2 linked regions of the Canis lupus familiaris genome follow. The protein of the gene in region 2 interacts with the protein of the main gene of each other region in a pairwise test. Links are inferred from orthologs where the notes say so. Each region holds a gene or a part of one and is shown on either strand. Other genes may lie near its edges.

The links.
Region 1: the proteins of ABTB1 (region 2) and EEF1A2 interact in binary tests that used the Homo sapiens proteins (3 or more experiments, as listed by UniProt). The two-hybrid records come from large-scale screens. The link is inferred for Canis lupus familiaris from reciprocal best matches to the Homo sapiens genes ABTB1 and EEF1A2.

The regions. Positions count from the first base shown.
Region 1 is NC_049245.1:47,948,303-47,959,751, forward strand, and holds the start of EEF1A2 (elongation factor 1-alpha 2), read right to left. Parts: upstream 5,423-11,449; 5' UTR 5,200-5,422; intron 5,025-5,199; exon of another isoform or gene 5,000-5,024; intron 3,961-4,999; 5' UTR 3,897-3,960; coding exon 3,753-3,896; intron 2,128-3,752; coding exon 1,948-2,127; intron 1,603-1,947; coding exon 1,306-1,602; intron 1-1,305. UniProt on the Homo sapiens protein: Translation elongation factor that catalyzes the GTP-dependent binding of aminoacyl-tRNA (aa-tRNA) to the A-site of ribosomes during the elongation phase of protein synthesis.
Region 2 is NC_049241.1:1,784,017-1,793,936, reverse strand, and holds the end of ABTB1 (ankyrin repeat and BTB/POZ domain-containing protein 1), read right to left. Parts: intron 9,382-9,920; coding exon 9,319-9,381; intron 9,217-9,318; coding exon 9,161-9,216; intron 8,120-9,160; coding exon 7,975-8,119; intron 7,869-7,974; coding exon 7,709-7,868; intron 7,617-7,708; coding exon 7,571-7,616; intron 7,229-7,570; coding exon 7,112-7,228; intron 7,032-7,111; coding exon 6,913-7,031; intron 6,663-6,912; coding exon 6,564-6,662; intron 6,472-6,563; coding exon 6,289-6,471; intron 4,255-6,288; coding exon 4,054-4,254; intron 3,976-4,053; coding exon 3,769-3,975; 3' UTR 3,380-3,768; downstream 1-3,379. UniProt on the Homo sapiens protein: May act as a mediator of the PTEN growth-suppressive signaling pathway. May play a role in developmental processes.

The sequences.
Region 1 (11,449 bases), on a different chromosome or scaffold from region 2:
ATAGCCCCACGGCCTCCCGGGACCCTCCAGGAATCCCGGTGGAGGTACCTGACCTGAGGGGGGCCTGGGGAGCAGGGGAGCACAGACCCGCCCTCTCCACTGCCCAATGTTCAGCTCTTTACCCACGTCCATCACGATGCTGCACGGCTGGTCCCCGCACCCTCCTCACCCCCCAGTTCACACTCCCAACATCACGGAAGCCTTGGAAGAGGTCGGGGAAAAGATGTGGAGCCCAGTCCCGCTTAGTCCCCCTTTCCTGCAGCCCTCGGACCCCCCGGGCAGGGCTGGCACCGGCGCGGGAAGGGCTGGAGGCTGGCCAGCGGCCAGGCCAGAGGCAGAGAGTCCACGCGGCCCCCAGCCACTGTGCCAACCGTCTCCGGGCCCGGCTGGCCCTTCCCTGCCCAGGGCTTCCCGGCAGCAGACCCAGCACCCTCCTGGCATGGAGCCCCCCGGCCCGCTGGCCACGGGCAGGCAGAGGCGAGGGGCCGGCAGCACCGCCCAGCCCGCCCGGTGGGACTGGGTCCTGTGGGGGGCACAGATCAGCAGCCAGCTCCCCGAGCAGCAGGTCAGGAACGGGACACTCTAGGGTAGGGCGCCCTGTCCGCCTCCCGGGAGGGTGGGGAGTGCAGTCCACTCACCCATCGCCACACGACAGCCGTGTGGGACCCTCACCAGGCAAACCCGCAGCCCAGCGAGCCGGGGGCAGGGTCCCCAGCCTCGTCCCCTGACCACAGGGCTCCAGGACAGTCCCCCTGGCTCTTCAAGGGCCCCTCCCCGCCCGCAGCACTGGCCAGAGCAGACGGCCGCCCTCCTGGGCCAGGCGCGTCCTCTGGCCCCACTGTCCAGGCACCTGGCCTCAGGCTCTGAGAATTCCTCACCTCCCCAGTCCCCGCGCCGCAGGCTGCCCGAGCCACAGGCTTCCCACCCGGCCGGTGGAGAGCGAGCCCTCGGCCCCTCCCAGAGCCTAACCTGCCCGCGCCCGCAGAGGCTCCTGGCAAGGTGAGGACGGGCCGGGCAGAGCCCCCAGGCACCGAGCACCGGGCCTCGGACCCGGCGGCACTGCTCCCGCGCTCCCCGCCGGAGGGGGCACCCCTGGCCAGGGAAGGGGCCTGTGCCGGCCTCGCGGGGCCACGAGGCCCGCGCCCCGAGCACGAGCCCCACGCGGAAGCGAGCGCAGCAGGGCGGGGCGTGGATGCCCGGGGGAGCCCGGGTCCTGCCCGCGCCTGGTCCGCGCCCGGGCCCGGCTCTCAGGGAGGGGTCCCCGCAGCCCCGCGCCCACCCGCCCGCCCGCCCGCGGGCACTCACGTTGGGCGAGGGCTCCAGCATGTTGTCCCCGTGCCAGCCCGAGATGGGCACGAACGGCACGGTGGCCGGGTTGTAGCCGATCTTCTTGATGTAGGCGCTGACCTCCTTGACTATCTCGTCGTAGCGCTTCTCGCTGTAGGCCGGCTCCGTGGAGTCCATCTTGTTGACCCCCACGATGAGCTGCTTCACGCCCAGCGTGTAGGCCAGCAGCGCGTGCTCGCGGGTCTGTCCGTTCTTGGAGATGCCCGCCTCGAACTCGCCCACGCCCGCCGCCACGATCAGCACCGCGCAGTCCGCCTGCCCGCAGGTCGCCGTGAGCCCGGGCCCCTCCAGGCGGTCGCCCGGGGGTGGGCCCCAGGGGTCTCGACCAGGGGCAGCAGCAGGGCCTTGTCCATCCGTGCGGACGGCCGTCTATCTGGGTCCGTGTGTCTGTCTGCAACGGCGGCCCTGACCCACAGTCCCTCCCGGCCCCTCTGCCTGGCTGAGGTGACGGGCACCTAATCATTCTCTGGGGGCGGCTCTGTAGCAGGTGGGGTGGGGGGTGCCTGCCCTGGCAAGGAAGCGGAGGGAGCCCAGCCACCCCTCCAGGACCCCAGGGCCCTGGCCCCTCGGGTCCCCTTGGCCCCCCACAGCCCCGCCCACCTGGGATGTGCCGGTGATCATGTTCTTGATGAAGTCACGGTGGCCGGGGGCGTCGATGATGGTGATGTAGTACTTGGTGGTCTCGAACTTCCAGAGGGAGATGTCGATGGTGATGCCACGTTCCCGCTCCGCCTTCAGTTTGTCCAGCACCCAGGCATACTTGAAGGAGCCCTTCCCCATCTGCACAGGTGGGGCATGGCTTAAGGAGGGACCCGGGACTCAGCCCGCTGGCCACGGGTCCCCCTGGGCCACGGGAGCATTCGCAGCAGAGGCCTGGGTGCCAGGCTCCCTCACTCCCCACGGGGCCCTAGGGCTCTGATCGTCTGTAGAATGAGGGAGCCAGGAGCAAGGACCCTGAGGGGCACCCAGACCTCAGCCCTGCCCTGCCCGGGCCCTGCCACCCGGTGTCCCCGGCTCCTGCCCTCTAGATGGTTGCCATTCGGACGTCCTCCAGGAGGTGGCGCAAGGGCCTGGGAGCCAGGCTTGGAGAGAAGCCACCAGGCCTTTAAACCCCTCCCCTGGCTGAGGGCTCCCCTTTTTCCGCGCTGGCCACCCCCAGCCCCGGAGATCCCTGCATGAACCGGAGGCCCACAACGCCACCGTCAAGGTGTCAAGCCCAAAACACAAAACAAAACCCTCTATGACGATTTTTTTTTTAAGGGAAAAAAAGGAAATTGGATGAGGTTGCATGGAAGGGCCTGGCTTTCCAGCTCTTTCTACAGCCAAGGCTTCCAAGTAGCTCTAAGGCTCCACCTGCAGACACCTGTGCCCAGCCCGGCGGAGACCCCCATACCCTGGGCCAGAGCTGAGGCTGCTGCCCAGCAGGACAAAACCCCCGCAGGGCTGTGCATGGACAGGGCTCTGGCCTCCAGGGAGGCTGCCCAGCCAGGAGGGCCACCCAGACAGGGCCCAGAGGGGACCCAGCGAGACCTGAGCCAGGCATCCTGCAAACCCCCACAGCCTCCGCCAGCGCCAACCCCGCATGGAAGGAGGGAGTGACGCAGCTTTTGGGCTCAGGCGCGGAGGGAGGCCGCCCAGCGCAACACCCACACACTCACTCTGAGCAGGGTCAGCCCAGGCCGGCAACTGAGGCCTCCTGGGCCCAGGCCCCAGCCCCTGTCATCCAGGAAACACCCTCACGGCCACCCAGACGGGGCCTCTCCCGGAGCCCAGGGGTGGGGGTAGAGGCTGCAAAGGGCAGACACCCACTCCGTGGTCACTTCCCACCCACCGGCTCGGCCACTTAAGAGAAAGGAGGTCAGTCAACGGGGCCCCCATCATTGTCACGAGGCACAAGAGGCAACCAGGACCCCCCCAAAAGAGCTCCACCCTGGACGAGCAGCCCTCCCCAGCCCAGCCTGAGAAAATGGAGCTGATGGGCTGGGTGCCCATCAATCAGCTATTAATAGCCGCCCTGAGTCCTGGCCCAGCCCTGGGACAAGTGAGGGCATCACCCCCTCAGCCCCGGAGACACAGGAACCCCACGCGGGTTCCAGGGTGCTCCACCCCAACTCGCCAGAGGTTTCCAGAGCCAGAAAGGCTGCCCCCAGGGCACCTCCCTGACCCGGAGGCCCCTCCAGCCGGCCGGCCCTGCCCCACTCCAAGCACATCCCCTGGGAGGCTGCCCCCAGGGCCCCCATCCCTCAGGTACTGGCCCCCAGGCAGGTCCTTTAGGGCTCGTGCCCCCTCGTGCCCCCTCGCCCTGGGGGAGGTCAGCGGAGCCTCATGCCCCAGAGTCACTGAGCGCCAGCCCGGCCACCACGTGGGGCCGACCTCTTAGTGGGCGGGGGAGGGGACAGGCTCACCTCAGCGGCTTCCTTCTCGAACTTCTCAATGGTCCTCTTGTCGATGCCTCCGCACTTGTAGATGAGGTGGCCCGTGGTGGTGGACTTGCCCGAGTCCACGTGGCCAATGACCACAATGTTGATGTGGGTCTTCTCCTTGCCCATGCTGCCCGGGGGGGTGGGGAGGGGCTGGGACGGCCTGGAGCGCTGTGGCTGGGATTCTGGGATTCTGTGGGGTGGGGCGGGGGACAGGTGATGGGGGCTTCAGAGAGAACCCACAGACAGTGCCCAGCACACCCCTGCCTGCAGAAGGAGCGACATTCCCACATCTGTTGGGGCAGGAAGTCCCCTCAGCCCCCCTCAGCCTGGGCCTGGCCCGTTTGGGTCAGCCGGCAAGCCCCCACGGTCCAGTGTCCTCCAAATATCTGGGTGTCGTGCCCACAGGGCCCCCTGAAGCAGGTTAGCCCCCCTCTGGAGAGATGGAGAGACACCAGGCTGGGCGAACCCCATGACCAGTCAGGAGCCTGGTGATGAGTCACCCTGCCCTGCTCTCCAGCGCTCGGCCCTGCCGCCTGCTGCCCCACCAGGAGTCCCGGGCCCTGCGCTGCCCCCCACCCCGCCAGCAGGTGGCCAGTGCCCCCCTGCCCCTCTGGCATCCCCTCACCCCTGCGGCGGCCCCGGGGACAGGCTGGGCCCCAGCTCCCGCAGGGCGGCTTGCACAGCTCGGGCGCTCCCGATCGGATGGGCCGGGGCGGCCGGGGGCAGGGAGGTGGGGTCCCTGCTCCTGAGAGCGGGGAGGAATGTGGCCCCAGCAGCCAAGCTCTGCGAGCGCCGGACGGAGATGCCGGCAGCCCGCTGGGGGAGGGGGCGCCTCTGCTTTTCCCTCTGGTCTCGGCCCGGGGTCACAGCTCCTGCCCCGTCCTGGAGCTCAGGGCAGAAACCTGGGCAGCCCACGAGGGGACAGGTGGCTGGGCCAGGGGAAGCAGGTGCCCACAGCGCACCGTGGGGAGCCGACACCCAGCCCGGGCTCCTGGGCCCGCCGGGGTGGGGCCGGTGCCACTGCCCCCAGGTCTCGCCGCCTCCCCGGCCTCGGGATCCCCAGCTGCTCCCAGCACTGACCACCCTGCCCCAGCCCGCGGGGCCCCGGCCGGTCCCAAGGTCACAGCGGCAGGGCGCTCGCCGCCACCCAGAAGACGGTCCTGCCGCCAGCGCATAAACAAGCGCCGCCGCGGTGCCCCCACCCCACCCCGACCGCCCGAGGGGCCGACCCGGTGCCCGGTGCCTGGTGCTCGGTGTCTGTGCCCGGTGCCTGTGCCCGGTGCCCGGTGCGGGGAGCCGCTGGCCGAAGCCGGAGCAAGCAGCGCAGCGTCGCCAGGTGCCCGCAGCCTCCCTGGGCCCGGCCGCGGGGACAGAGGAAGCCCCGGGAGCGCTGGGGGCGGAGGCGGAGCCCGAGGCCAAGCGTCCTTACCCGGAGCCGAGGTCTCAGCCAGAGGGACAGGCGGCGCGGCGCCGGCGGTTTTATCTCTCCAGGAGGGGGTCCACCTATTGACGGCGCGGGCGCAATGCACTGCGCCCCTGCAGTACGGCAATGCGGTACCGGCGGGGGCGGGGCGGGCGGGGCGGCCGGAGCCGAGGGGTGCGGGATGCGGGCGACAGGATGCGGCAAGGCAGCGAGCGCCCGGCGCGGCGCCAGACCCGGAGGGAGTGCAGGCAGGGAGAGAAAGCGGGTCGGGGCTCGCGGGGGGGCGGGGACCGGCCGAGCCGAGCGAGGGGGGCCGGGGGAGAGCAGCGCAAGAGATGGAGGCCGAGCGGCGCCAGGCTCAGGCCCTCCTGGACGCAGAAAGGGTGGGGACGGCCAGGCCAAAGGCAGTGAAACCTGAAAGGGGGTCCTTGGGGACAGGAAACCGAGGTGGGGACGTGGTAGGAGCAGGTCAGGCCTGCGCCAGGAGTGGGGCTGGGCCCGGGCTCTGGGCCGTGGGCCTGGGGGGCTCGCCCCCGCCCTCCATGCGCTTGGTGCCTGGTGAGCAAATGAAGCTCCCTTGTGCCTCCCAGCGAGGCCCCGGAGCCCTGGGGCCTTCCTCCTTTGGGACCCTGCAATTGCTTGTTTTCAGGGCCCCCATCCCCGTGCGTCGGCCACATGGGTCACCCTGGCATGCCCCCAGCCCGGCCCCACGGCACAGCCGGAGAACGGTGTCTTCAGGGTCCCCTCAGCCGGCCGAGTGGCTCGAGGCTCTGTGGGAGATCCACCTCAACCTCCCTCCCCTGCTGTCCACCCTGGGCCTCTGTCCACGCAAGTCTGTTCCCAGAGCCCACCGACACCCTCCAGGCTGCCCTGGTGCGCGCGAGCGGGGAGGGGTCCCGGGCAGGCAGAGTCCAGGCTCTGGCCTCACTCCTGGCCCCCGTGTGACCAGAGTGCGAAGCCACGGATGGGCCAGTTCTGTAGAAAGTGTGTTGGGGGGGGTCTTGGAGGGTCCAGGGCAGCCCAGGGCAATGGCCAACGTGGGTTCTAAGGAGGGAACCAGGCAGGCCCGTGCTGTGTGAAAGCCCGGGGCGCAGGCCTCTTGGCCCCCCGCACCTCTCCCTGTGGCTCCATCCATCCGAGACCACTCCCACTCCTGTCTTATTCATCTTTGTAATTGCGAGGTCTGGGAGAAGGTCAAGCAAGGTGAGTGGGTGACAGCAGAGGCCCAGTGCCTAGCACCCTCCCCTGGGGCAATGCCTCACAGAGCCCCCGCAGCACAGCAGGAAGTAAAGGGGCCCAGGGCAGTGATTGGGGGCCAAGCTGGTCTCCCCAGCCCATGGGGGGCCTCTTGGGGAGGGGACAGGCCCTCCCACCAGGCCCTGCCCCACAGGACCCACATCTGCAGCCACAGCCGCACTCCTAACCCTTCCGGGCAGGGAGGGGCCCTCAGATGACTCGGGGCACTTCCAAGTGCTGCTGATACCATCAAACAGGAGCCAGGATTAAAAATAAACTGGCAAGCAGTGGAGACCCACCCCACCCCCGCCCAGCTGCCCTCTATATTTGACGTGTCCCTCCTGCCTGAAGGTTAGCAGGGATTTGGAAGACACTGGGATTGGATGAAGCTGGGATGGGCCAAACCATGACTGCAGAGGCCCAGTCCCTGGGGATGTGCACCCCAACTGCCCCAGAGGGACCACCAGCACCCAGGACCCTGGGCTGCCTGCAGACCGGCCCCCCAACAGGTCTGAGCTGCGCCCCTCCACTCCTGGCTCACCCACTGCGGTCAGCCTAGTGGCGACCAAATCACACCGGGGCTGGCCTGTGCCAGGAGGCCACGCTGCCCGGGGCGGCGGCCACTGCTGGTGGAATGCAGCAGCCTCCCCGAAGGTGCTGCGCGCAGCCCCCCCAAGGGGTCTCGGTGGGTCTCCCGAGTGCCTGTGTCCCCAGGCTGTGCCCCATCCGCCCGGGGTGGGCTGCCTGCCGGGGAGCCTGGACCCCACGGCGGCCAGCAGACCCGCAAGCTCACTGGACCGTGCGTAAACAAGGTACGGCGCTGAATAATGACACGCCTGCCGCCTGCCGCCTGCCGCCTGCGCCCGGTGACTCCTGGCCGGGGAGGTCTGCTGAATACCAAATACTACGCAGCCAGCCGGTCGCCAAGCCCCGCGGCTCACCAAGTGCTGGGCGGGGCCGCCGGCCACCGAGCACCCACTGGGCGCGGACCGCGGACCACAGTGCCCAAGGTCACACAGCAAGGAGGGCAGAGCGTGCAGGCTGCAGCCGAGCCAGGCCCGTGTTACATCAGGACAGACGCCAACTGGGTCCCACCTGCACTCCTCTCCTCCCCGGGGCGGGCTCGCCACACCTCCCCCTCCCCTCCTTCTCCTTCTCCCAAATCTGAGCCACCTGTCACGATGGCCCCCATAGCAACCACGGGTAGGGTGGGGGGCGCGAGCCAGGAAGGGGCCGGCCAGCCTGGTGCAGGGGGGCGGGCAGGAGGGGGTGCAGGTCCGCCCCCTCAGGCCCCTCTGGCCGCAGGTGCCCCCAGCCATGAGCGGCCTGGGGAGACGCAGGCAGCCCCCTCTTTGGCTGGCTGAGGCTTCATGAGCCTGGAGAAAGAAGATCCAGCTAAAATTAACCGTTATCAAGCTGTCAGCCTGGAAATAAACGCTGCTCCGATTGGCTGCCGGTGATGTCACCGCCCGGTTAATAATAACCGCGAATGCACACTGACCACCTGTGCATGTGCTGCCCTGTGGGGGCCAGGGCCACCGGTCACCCTGCTAGCTGCTGCCCAGGCGTGGGGGCAGGGTGGGGGCAGGGCTCGGGCGCCCGGCCGCCTTGGGGCGTCTCTGAATGACCTCAGCTCGCGGCCTGGGGTGACAGGACGTCAGTGCTCAGCCTCCCTGCGGGGCCAGTGACATCCAGTGTCCAGCCGTCCTGGGCAGCACGACCCTGGACGGCCTCGGGGACACTCGCTCCCGCTCCCAGCTCCCCGGGGAACCGAGCAGCCCCTGGGGCCGGAAATCGAGTGGCCTCCTCGGCCAGGAGCTTCCGCCAGAGAAGCAAGATCGAGGCCCCAGATCTGAGAAGTTGGTGCTCCCAGGGGGCGGGGCTGGAGGGGCGCGGCCGGCACCCCGACCCCCCAGCGGCCAGCCCTGTGCTCGCCCCGGGGCACTGGTGACCCTGGACAGTCCAGGCTGCCGGGGGAAGCCAGCGTGCCTGGGGGGTAGGGGCCGGGAGGAGGGGCACCGGCCTGGGCCCGCCCAGGAGCTGCGGTACCTGCGCCCTGGCTGTTGCCATGGTGACGGAGCCGCACCGCCGGGAGGAGCCTGGTGACGGTCACCTGGGCCGGGGGGCGGTCCGCCAACACTGGAGCTCCACCCCTGCCCGGCATCCCCCTGCTTCCAGGGAAGGGGCGTGGCGGGCTTGGCCCCCCAGCTACCCGAGAGGCCAGGTCTGTGGCGCCCTCCCGGCAGGTCCATGCGGCTGGGGGCCACCGGAGAGCCCCGGGGGAGGACAGGGGGGAGGGCGAGACGGCCCACTGCCCGCCCGCGGGTGGAGGGAGAGGGCTCGGGCTCAGGGAGGAGCGGCTCCGGCTCGGAGGCCCTGGCGGAGCCAAGCTCCTTAGCAACGGAGCCCAGGTGTTCACCTGGGGAATCGCCGCCTCCAGAGCAGCGGCCCCGGGGGCCTCGGGTTGACTGCTGCGGAGGCTGCGGTGGCGTCACTGTCCCCATGGGTGGTGGGGGCCCAGGAAAGACCCCCTGCACGGCGGCCGGGCTGAGGAGGCCAGCCCTCTCCTGGGGAGGAGGCGGGGACGGGCGCTGCCCTTGAAAATACTTAGGAGTGCAAGGGTCCCCATGTCCCTGACCCGCCCCAAGAAAGAGAACACCCCCTCCTGCCCTCCAAGGTCACCGCGGTCCCGACTGCAGACCCCAGATCGCACTGTCTGCTGGCAAACTTGCCCTGCGTGGTCTTCTGTGTGGCTCCTGCCACCGCCACCTGTTGTCATGCGTCCGAGCTGTTGTGTTTGCTGGTTGGTCCTCCTCACTGCCCCGCGACAGTCCGTTTCCGAATTGGAACGACCGCCAAGCCGCCCGCGCGTCCTGTGGGCTCCGTGTGCCACTCTGCCCGCGGACTGCCCCTCGGCTCTCAGGTCACACTTCAGCACCTGCTCTGTGACGATGGGCAGAGCTGAGCGCTTCCGCTTCGGGTGAGCAGATCCATCCTGTAGGGCAGGCGGTGAGGACGGACTTACAGCTGAGAGCAGATGAGCTGCTACGCGGCCTTTTCCCTCTGGCGATGAGGACATTTACCTATTGCTTTGCACATCTAGTAATCTGGGGCTGGAAGTTGAATGCTCTGGGAACCCTGGGTTCCGTGGTCCTCGCGTGAGGCCTGCTGGTTCTCGTCTTGCAGCCATTTGATCTCGGCTGCAAGCCTGCGGGCTCCTCGCGGCCGGTCTACGGGTAAAACCGGCGGCGCGTCTTCCGAGCCGCGGGGCTGGTTAGATTCGACTTTCAATCTTGGTCCCCCGCTCTCCACGGGGCTCGGCTCTAACTCTTCTTAGATGGTCCTAGAGTAGACATGACCATGGGTTGTCGCCTTTCCCCTCTGGTATTAAAGTGTTTATTTAGGGATCCCTGGTGGCGCAGCGGTTTGGCGCCTGCCTTTGGCCCAGGGCGTGATCCTGGAGACCCGGGATCGAATCCCACATCGGGCCCCCGGTGCATGGAGCCTGCTTCTCCCTCTGCCTGTGTCTCTGCCTCTCTCTCTCTCTCTCTGTGACTATCATGAATAAATAAATAAAAATCTTAAAAAAATAAATAAAAATAAATAAATAAAGTGTTTATTTATTTAAGTCCTCTCTACACTCAACATGGGGCTTGAACTCAAGACCCCGAGATCAAGAGCTGCACTTGATGGGCGACTTTTGTGTTAAAAAAAATAAGTCTGGGGGCACCTGGGTGACTCAGCGGTTGAGCTTTGCCTTCAGCCCAGGGCATGACCCCAGGGTCCCCGGATCGAGTCCCACATCGGGCTCCCTGCATGGAGCCTGCTTCTCCCTCTGCCTGGGTCTCTGCCCCTCTCTCTCTCTCTCTCTCTCTCTCTCTCTCATGAATAAATAAATACAGTATTAAAAAAAAGACTCTGTCTTGGCAGACAGACCTGAGCGAGGGATTCTCCTACCAGCCTTGAAGAGGTGAGCTCCCAGGAGGTGAGAAGGCCGGTGAGGGCCGATGGCAGGAGACCGTGGGCAGCTCCTCCACGCAGAGCGGGCCTCCAGCTGTGCATCAGACAAAGGGGGCCTCAGTCCTACAGCCCCGTGACCTTAGAAGACGACCCCAAGCCTCGGCTCTGACTGCTCACTTTTGAAACCCTGAGCAGAGGACGCAGATCAGTGGTGCCTGGACCTGACCACAGAGCCAGGTACGTACAATAAACGCATGTTTTTAATTTTTTTTAAAGATCTTTATTTATTCATTTGAGAGAGAGAGAGAGACAGAGATAGTGACCGAGAGAATGAGCAAGGACGAGAGGGAGAAGCAGACTCTCCACTGAGCAAGGAGCCCGACTCGCAGCTCGATCCCAGAACCCCGAGATCGTGACCTGAGCCAAAGGCAGGCACTTCACCGAACTGAGCCGCCCACGTGCCCCTAAACGCATGATTTTTAAAGTCGCTGAATCTGTGGGAGGCTGTTGTGCAGCAGTCGGTACCAGTACTCGGGGCACGGTACCGCCCGCCCTGGGACGCCTCCGCTGGCCTCCCCCGCCCTGGCCACAGGCGGGAGCCTCGCACCCGAGCTTCCCCACAGGTCAGCGGCCTGCACGCCAGCCCGGAGCCCCCGTGGGCGGCCCAGCGAGTGTGGGTCGGCGGAGCTCACGTCCCTCCAGCCGCTGCCCGCCTCGAGTGGAGCTCCAGTCGCTCGTGGAAGCGGGGCTGGCCTGCGACCTGCCACTTCTCTGTGCTCGGAAGTGGACGAAGGATCCACACGCATCCATTTTTTTATCTTGAAAAAATTTCACACTTGGAGAAAAGTTGCCAGAGTCAGTGTCCCAGGCATTGCCTGTGGCCTTCGTCCACACCCACCAGTCGTCAGCGTCCACCTGTCCGTGATCGTTCTCTCCCATGTCTATGCTGATCCACGTGTGAGAGGGCTTCGTGAGTCACGGCCTCTACTCCCCAGTACCCGAACGGGCATTCCCTGGGCTGCCCAGAACCCCATCCCCCCCAAGGCTGCCCAACCCCTGG
Region 2 (9,920 bases):
GAGCTGCCTCTCCTAGTGGAGGCTTCCTCGTGGGCGCCCCCATGGAATTTCTACTTGAGCTTTTGGGTGGTTGGTAGTATTGCTCGTTCAGACTGCTCAGGAAACAGGCTCTGAGGGATGGAGTGATTGGCTCAAAGCCAGTGCAGAGTGTGAGCTCCAGCCCAGTGTCTGAGACTGTGCTGCAGGAGACCCCACTCCCTCCCAGAGAAGGAAGGTGGGCGACACAGCCCCAGGGACAGAGCGCCAATGCAATGCTCAGATCTTAAACCACCAGTAGGGCCTGCTGTTGCCTGAGGGTGGCTTCCCGGCTCCAAGGTAGAAGCTCCCAGAAGCCTGAGGGCCCCAGAAGTCCTTTCTTCTGAGGCCTGCCCTTCAGACTTTGCCCAAGTCAGAAATCGTTATGCCTTCAAAATGTTCACTCAGGGATTAAGGCTGCCCCTAGGCCTGGCAAGAGCACACCTGCCCGTATGATGCCAGTGCCCAATGGCAGCCTGGTCCCCAGCGGGGCTCCTCGATCCACTGCCATGAATGGGACATTAAGGCGTATGCGGTTCTCTAGGTGAACGAAAGAACATATGCAAAGCTTTCACTCTCTTTTAATTTTTATTTTTTGCAAGTGGGGAAGATTTTATAGGATGGGTGAAAAAGTATTTTCTATTTTTATTACAGACCTGCCTTGTGTAATGACTGTTTGGGTCAGGACCAGGACCAGGGGGAAGCAAGTAAGGCACTTGTCTTGGACACAATGTAAATGGGGCACCAGGAATCTTAATGAACAAGACCATACTTTTATGTGATTTAAATTAAAAGTAATGGAAAAAAAAAAAAAAAGCATGATGAACCAAATAGCAGCCTTTTAAATAAAGACAGGCTCAGGGATCCTGATGTTTCTCCCAGCTCCAGCACAACTCTGTACACAGCACCTAACTGACCCGGCCCCTGCCCCTACCGCCATGGCTCCCTCTCTCCCTGGGGCCTTGACAAGCCGTCCCTTCCTTACCTCTTAGTACAAAGCCATGTGGTGCTTATTTTGTCTGTGAAAAATGTGCAAATAACTTGAGCTGGGATAGAATGCATGTGTTTCTCAATAGAATTCATGGACCTATTTTTCCATTCAGCAGGAATGAATTAAAGTTGTTACTTGAGGACAGATGTCCTTTTTGATTCTAAATGCAATACAGCCACACTATGAAAACGACACAGAAATCAGATGAAACCCTCAACTCTTGCTCTGGAAGCATGCCGTGTTTCTAAGCCCGGGCTTGCGGGGGGCACCTCAAGGCAGGCTGAACAGCCCCCAGCTTCCCCCTGCATGTACTGAGGCTGCCTGAGCAGCCCCCCGACCACAGGAAGCTTACCATCATTTCCTTCCCCACTGGGCTCACGGGTGCCCTTCCTGTTGTTTCCTGTTTGCAACACCGCCCTGAACACCTTCAGACAGAAGGCCTTTCCCCACCTTAGGCCACATGTAGCTGAAAAAATGAGGAAGGTGTGGTGTAGTTGGCGAATGCCCCTGCAGCCGTGGGGCTGAGGGGACCACGGTCCTGGGGGTGGTGACTCTCCAGATCCACTGCCTCCCTAGCAGGTGCACCTCACTGCCACTCTCTCGGTGACCTGCTAAGGTACCACTTCCAGAGGACTCGCTCTTAAACCGCCTCACTTAGGTTTTTACTTACAATCTATTCTAAAACAAGCACGATTTCAAATAACAGCTGTAAAAAAAAAAAGAGAGAGATGGGTTTCTATAGAGTTCACTGTTGTCCCCAGTATCTATCTTAAAAAAAGAAAAAGCATCATAATTTTTTTAAAAACCCTTTTTTAATGTTTAAACCTCTTACTATATATACCTTGCCTCCCGTGGAGTTAGTGTGTGTGGCTCTTAGGCCACCAGCCTGGCCCCACCCAGGAAGTCTGGGTGCCCAAGGCAAGCAGTGACCTTGCAAAGTTGCAAGTCAGCCCCTGCCTCGCCCTCCTCACCTTCCTCACCTTCCTTGCCCCTCCCTCCACACCTTGGGTGGAGCCCAGCATTTCACAAATACCAGCTTACTGCGCCCCCTGCCCCCACCCAGGCCAGTGCAGGGCCCTTCACAAGTAGCCGGAGCTCACTTTTAATGCCCCAAGCCAAAAGGGAGGCACTATCAGAGTCACCCCAATTTATAGCTGGGTAAACCAAGGCATGGAGCTGTGACCAGGGAGGAAAAGGCAGAGCTGGGGTAGGAACTCTGGTCCCGGGGTGGCTTGGGCTCTGGCCATGATGACCTCCCTGGGTCTCGTTCCGAGGCTCTTCAGGCTCCCAGGCCCATGCCCAGACCCTGCCCTCCACCCAGCAGGCCCTGCCGTCCACGTCCCCTTCCCCCACCCCCATGCCAATCACCTCCCTGCCTGCTGCTACTTTGTTCACCCATCCCACCTTACTGCTTCCCCCATGGGAGCCACTTGCCAGACCAACATGGAGGACATGCAGAGGGGAAAAGGAGATCCCAGAAACTCTAGAACTGATGAACATGTAAGGCACAGACGGCAGGACACCCAGTGCTGTTCCTAGGGCAGAATGGGACAGGCCTCAGACGCTTGCTGCCTGGGCCTCAGGTCGGGGGACAGCCTATAGGGCATCCGGAGATGGCCACCTAACATTCCTGATAATGTCATAGCTCCCGTGGCAGAGGCCAGGAGGCCTCCCCAGGAAGGAGGCTGGCCGGGGGCTGAGAGAAGACAAGAGGTCAGTCCTCAGCTGCTCCTGGCACGAGACTCTCCATGGCCAGCCGCCAGTGGGCTGAGGAGTGGAGGGAGCCAGGCTAGGGCCAGCTGGGCTCACTGGGCCCCCTCCTACCCTCCACTCCCACTCACTCCTCCCTGGCCCTCCCCCTGGAGCTGCAGAGCAAGCTGCTGCCACAGGGCTGACCAGGGCCTCTCCCCCTGGCCCTGCCAACAGCCCAGCCTGGGTCTTCGCAGCCATAAAACGCAGGTGCTGGTGGGGAGGCTCCACCGCTAGATGAACGGCCTCTGGTGTGCAGGGGGTGCTCATAAATGAGTGCTAGAAATATGTCTGGCTCAGAAGCCAGTCCTTGCCCGGTCTGAGGAGGAACGGCCTCTATGGTGGTTGGGTCAGCCTCCCACTGAACCTCCCCCAGGACCACTGAGGGCAGGTGGGTGTGTCGGACTTCACATGGCAAAAGCTGTGCTGGAGGGGAAGGGGGAGAGTCCCACGGCTGGAGAGGCTGGGCCCAGCTGGGGAGTCTCAAGGCCCCTACTCAGAACCCCCACCACACCCAGCCCCCGAGGAGCCCCTGCTGGGCACCGATGGATAAGGGGCTCCGAATCTAGAGCTCTTCCCTGGCCCCCTGCACCTGCACCCCGCCCCAGACACAGGCTCAGGCTCTCACAGTGAATTCAAGCTTTATTGCCACACAAAGACTCTTCTGCTCCCCATGGGCCAGCTCTGTGCCTGGGAGAAGCCTGCTTGCTGGGCTTGGCTTGGAAGCAAACAAGCCAGGGCCAGGAGAACGGGGGTGTGGAGGGGCTCGGGGAAGGGAGGTCCTAAGAGACCCCCACCCCAGGTGTCCCTGAGTGGTGCTCAGCCCCAGGGCCTCGGGGGGCTGGTTTGTGTTGGGAGGGGGCTCATCCTGACCCTCTCCTGGGGCCCCAGGCACGCTGGGGGAGGGGCACCCCACAGAGCCCCCTCAGCCCACCAGGACACCCTCCTCCAGGGAGCAAGGAACATGCGTGCAAGCACACACACAGCTGCCCGCCCGTGCCACACGCCGACAGTCAGCAGTCCAGGCCAATAGACACCAGCAGGTCCTCAAGTGCTCGTAGCCGCTGCTGCGCCTCCTCGATGGCACTGTAGGTCTGCACCGTGCTGGCCACATGGAAGCGGATGTCGTCCACCAGCGGGATGGAGTCCGTCTCCTGCCGGGCAGCCACGGCCGCCGCCTCCTCCCGCACGGCCTCCACGAAGTCCTCCCGCTCCACCAGCTGTGGACAGGCCAGCTCAGAGCACGCCGGCCGGCTGCCCTCAGCCTGCCCCACCCACCACGGCTGCCCCAGGCCCACCTTCTCGATGACCTTGGCCATGTACTCAGTGCACTGGTCCTCGAGGCGCGCCAAACGGAACAGCTTGGCCACGCGCCACACCCCCACCACGTTGTCCTCATCCAGCAGCTGGGCCAGGCTGCGGCCACAGAGCCGCTTCAGGCCAGGCAACAGGTACATGTCGGCCACGCTCAGCACATCGTAGGCCGCCTCGGGGGGCAGCTGCAGTGAACGAAGGGGTTAGGGGAGGATGAGCCGCAAGGTCACCGGGGACCACTCGGGGCCCTAGCAGCAAGGCTGGGAGCTATTAGGGAGATGGTGGAGGCTGCAGGTAGGGCAGGAGCTCCCTCTCAGGCCTCAGGGTGACAGGCCTCACCTGTCCCGATGGTCACACCCCCTAGCCCAGCCAGATTGCTGCAGGCATCCGTGGGACCAGAGAGCTTGGCAGAGACGGGTTCCCACACCTTAGGCCCTTAACCAGGAGAGAGAAGCTGAGCTGTGAAGCACACAGACCCACACTCTGAAATCCTAGCTGTGGGACCCAGGCAAGTCACTTCACTTCTGTGTGCCTCAGTTTCCTCTCTGGGCAGTACAACCATGCCTGCCTCTGTTGTCAGAAAACAGAAGATGCTTTTCCAAACTGAGGCAGGAACCCCCCCCCCCCCAAGGCAGCAGAGTAACTCTTTACCGGCTCCCTTCCACCTACACCTGGACCCTGTGCTCGGAGAGACCACAGGTTCAGGCTCGGCTCCCATCCAGACTTTGGACGGGCAGAGGGAGAGGCTGGAGACAGGGCAGGCAGGACCTCTTCGAGCACATCCAAGCCACACGCACTGCTTACTCAGGCTGGGCTCCACCTGTGACACACATCCATCTGCACAAGACCTTAAAAGACCACAACTATCACCATCCCCACTTTCTAGAAGGGGAAGACTAAGGCACAGAGCCACTGAGGAACCAGCCTAGGGTCACACAGCTTGTGAGCAGCTAACCCAGCGTCAAACCAGGTTAGGAGCCCAAGTCCACACTTACAGCCATTACATACTGTCCTCAATGGCAAAGCTCCCGCAGGAGTGTGGCAGGGAGCGGGGGAACATGGACCCCGGGTGGCAGGGGCCAGAGCTGAGCTATGCTGCAGGAGGAATGGAGGCCGGGAAGGGTGCCCACGTAGAGAGGCTGCTAGGCTTACAAATGGGGACCATGTGAGGTGAACACAGGCTGACATCACAGCCCAGCTTGTCCCCCAGGCCCCACTCCTGACAGAGGCCACACAGCCCCACCTGCCTGCTTGGCAAGTACGGCCACTAAGTGAGTTCTCTCCTGGGCCACAGGAGAACGGTGGGTGTGGCCTCCACCTGGCCTATGACAAAGGAAACAGTGTGTTTCATTTTATTCTTCCTCCTAAGCTGTGAGTCAGCCTGCACCCCAATATCCAATATCCAGATGCACAGGACACCTCCTCAGGTGCTGTGGACCAGGTCCAGCCCACTCTGTGTTTCGTAATGAATACAGAGTGGGACACAGCCATACCCACTCATTTCTGCACGATGTTGACACCTAGTCCTCAGAGAAGGCTTGCTGACTGCCCCCAGGCCATGTCAGGGTGACAAGATGGAGGGGATAACCTGGGTCCCCGCAGGTCACCTGTCCTGGCGCACTCACTTCAGACGTGAAGGAGAGCAAACATCTCTCTCCTTTATGTGATTGTATTTGGGGGGGGTCTCTTTATCATGGGGCCTTTTACACACACACACACACACACAGCACACCTTCGGCAGCAGTTACTGCTGCCCATGTCACCCATGCTCTGAGGATGCTCTGGGCCAGTTGAAGACCCAGGGAAGCAAAAGCACAGGAGACAGAAATCCAGAACCCTGGAAATGGACAGCAATCCAGAGGCAGGAGGCGCGGCGCTCCCCACTGTTGTGGTAATTCAGGGTTACTCTCCCTACCCACCCTCCAACCGAGGACCTGGGGACCCCAGGTAGCTCATATTAAATCCCAAGTGTCATGTGCTCATGATGTGGCTCTTGCCACTCATTCCTGTTCTGGAACCAACCAAGGTCCCCTCTGCCTGAAAGAAAAACCCAAACGCGTCCCATGCTTCCTCTCCAACCTCAGAGCAGAGCAGACCAGCCCCACAGAGCAGAGCAGGACACAGGCACTCCCTTGAAGCCCCGGAGCGACCCGGCTGCACACCTGTCCCGATGGTCACACCCCCTAGCCCAGCGCACACAGCCTGCTCGAGCTCCGCACCTCTGTGTGGTCACTATAGATGTAGTAGAGCACGTGGGTGAAGATGTCAGGCGAGATGCCATGGAGAGTGATGGCCAGGAGGCCGCCTGAGGCCTCCAGCTCCTCGTTCTCTCGGAAGTGGTCGTCCAGCAGGGCCCGGAAGTAGTCGCTGCGGCCGCAGAAGAAGGCCTGGGGGAGGCTGGGCTAAGGAAGGGTGGGGGCCAGTGCCTGTCCCCAGAGCTGGCCGGGGACATAAGGCAAGGGGGCGGGGATGGGGGGGCGGTAAGGGACGGCACCTTGTGGCAGAGAAAGCTGCAACCTTCCACCCGGAAGCAGACATCAGGACAGCTGTTGAAGCCGTCGGGGCAAGGGAAGGGCAGCTCCCCGAGATCACCCTGGGAGATGAAGGAAGAGACACCATTGGAGCAGGTGGGACACAGGAGAGCAGCCAGTCCTAGCCACAGGTCTAGTCTAGCTCGATCTGGAGGGATGGCCTGCAGCCCCATTTGCAAATTGAAGTGTGACAACGACCCAAGTAAAGTGGGCTCAGAGAAAGGGACTGGCTCCAGCCCAAGGATGGAGCCAGGCGCGGGGCTTGTCTACCATGGCCACGTCCACATGGGGCCCCACCCTCCTTGTGCTTACACGGAGCTCCGGGGGCAGGGCGCAGTCGGCCAGCAGGGCCATGTCCTCCCGAAGCCGGGGATCTGCCGGCGGGGGCTCGATGGTCAGCACCTTCACACACGTGCCTGGCTTGGAAGCCACTGTGGAGGGGACAATACAGCTGCAGGGCCCGGGGGCTGCTGGTTCCTGCCCGACACCCTGACCCCAAGCCTGGACTCACCGAACTCAGACACTTTCTCACACTTGGTCTCCAGGTCGCTGAGCAGGTCCCACAGTTGGCACTGCTTGGCCAGGCGCTCACAGTCACTAACATGCTCCACGCCGACGTCCAGGCGGCCTAGGGGAGACACAGGAAGCTCAGGGCCCGAGAGGAGCTCTCTGTGGTCCCCAGCACCAAGGCTCCCAGATCTCCTTCCTGCCTTGGTTTGCCCCCTCAAGAGCCACTGCCTGACTTCCATAGGCCCCAGGACAGATGGAAGGGGACTTGGTGTGTAGGTGGGACAAGCTCCTCCTGAGTAGACCCTCCAGCTTGCTGTTTCCCAGCCCACCCAGGAGGCAGCTAGAACAGCCCCACGCTGCAGGGCACAAGTTCCAGGAGGTACAAGGGGGGCCCAAGGCCCCCGTTTCTGCTGGACAGAAACCCCCTCCCTGCCAGTGTCCCGCAGGCTCAGAGATTCACCTGTGTACAGGTACTGCAGCAGGGCCCCAAAGGCCACGGGGTTGATCTGCAGGCAGGGAGACCAGGAGGGAAGGTCAGAGGCGGCCACCCAGCATAAGCTCCCTGCTGTCCCTCCACCTGCCCCTGGGAGGGACACACCAGTGGATGCCTAAGGACCACGACATTCTTGCCCTTCCATTTGGTGTCCAGCATGTTGGCAAAGTAGGCACTGCGTGCACCCAGCACACAGCGATGTGCCCGGAAGGGCTTCCCGTGCACCACAAAGACCACGTCACTATGGATGCCCTGCTCCAGGAGCCTGGGGAGGAGCAAGCGGAGCAGGTGTTCAGCAGGCCCTTCCCCCAACCCTGCAGGAGGGTCCTCAGCCCTACCCCATGCACACCCAGCCCTGCACCCCATCTCACCGCTGCAGGAAGTCATCGTAGTAGTCCCGCCTCCTGCAGGAGGCTGTCACCTGCTTGTAATCGCGCAGGGCCCGGCGGATGGGGTCGCTCAGTGCCCCGTAGAGGCAGCGCTCCCCATCAAAGGTGTTGGCTTCACAGCGGGCTCCTGGGGGCAGCAGGGCTCGCCAGTCAGCAGGCTCGGGAACATGTACACTGCGGCAGGGACAGGGTCTGGGGGGAAATCCTAATCTCTCCCCCTGCAACCTTCCCACGTGTAGGGCCCAGCCCTGGACTTCGGAGCGCCTGCCAAATTATCCTGGGCCCACTCTGACACCAGCATCTTCTCTGCCAGGGCCTGGGCACATGGGCATGTCTTGGTACCACAGACCACAAACAGAGCAGGCTCAGAGACCACTCTGCTCTAGGCCCCGGACACAGCCATAAACACACATCCCAGTCCTGACTAACCGATCCTCCAGTGTGGCGGTGGACAATGAACATGTTAACAAATGATGTCAGGTGCTATGAAGAAAAAGAAAGCAAGGCAAAGTGGTTGTGGCTGCCACACAGGGAGGCCAAAGAAGGTCACTGTGTCAGTGACAACACACAGAGACCTGAATGGAATGAGGAAGTCAGCCATGCAAAGATCTGAGAAACAGCAATGTAAATAGGAAGAACAGTGAGTGCAAAGACCCTGTGGTAGAAGCAAACTTGGAATGCGAGAGCACCAGAGAGGCCAGTGTGGCTGGAAGCGTGAGCACATGGGGGAGCCAACAGAGGTGAGGCCAGAGGGGAAAGAGCAGTTCACTTAGAAGCACAAAGACTGGCAAGGCAGTGTAGTTTTATGCTAAATGCAAATGGCAGGTCTTGGGGAACTTTAAGCCTATCAGACTCGTGAGACCCATCAGGCTGCAATATGGAGCATGGACTGTAGGTAGGGCAAAAGGGGCAGACAGGAGACCAGAGGAGGCTGGCTTTGGGGCTGGGCAGAGAGCTATAGTTGGGCTGGGTGGTGGCTGTGGAGATGGGGAAGTGGACATAAGAAAACAGGTTCCAAAAGTAGAACCCACAGTACTTGCTGACTGGGTGTGTATAGCGGTGAAGAAAGGACAGGACTTGAGAGTGTCTGCAAATGCAACCCCCCCCACACACACACACGCATGCATGCATGCACACACGCATACAGAGCCCCGGCTCCTTCTCTCACCATTGGCCAGAAGATAAAGTACTAGCTCTTCATGCCCACAGAGGCAGGCGTAGTACCTGAGGGGGGGGAAAGGAGGAGTATGGGAGGCTGTTATGAGGCCTGAAGGCCCCACCCCCACACACACACCTGCCATGACCACCCACCCACCCGGCACTCACAAGGGGGTGCTGTCCCACTTGTCCCGCACATTCACCTCCACGTCCCGTTGCTCCAGCAGGTACCTAGGCAGGGAGGAGAGCAGTGTCTGAGTCAGGACAGGTTCGCGGTCTGTGAGAGGAGACCCACAGAACGGAGAAAGAGAGAAAACATCGATCTTGGCTGAGAGAGGTCTCTCCCCTATGTGAGGGCAGGTGGCAGGCAGGCCAGAGCAGGAAAGGCATTCAACCAAAGGGACCAACACAGGTAGACACGGTGCTGAGGGGAGAACTCCTAAGGGAAATGGAGAACCTCAGAAGCAGGAGCCCAGAGCTGGCCTGAAGGCATCCGTGAGAGAGGAGGGGGTTTAGGGCTTCTCCCACAGCCCCCTGGCTGCTTGTGCCAGCAGACTGGATAGGGGAGACTGGACATAGGGAGACCAAGGAGAAGGCTTCTACAGGTGTCCTGCTGGTGTGGATGCATGAAGAGCAGTGAGAAGATTCAAAAGGCAGAAGTCAGGAGACATGGTAGCTGATGGGATGTGGCAGGTGAGGGGGATCATCACGGATGGTGATGAAGCCATCACTGAGGGCAGGAAGCCTGGGTGAGATGTCCAAGTTGGACT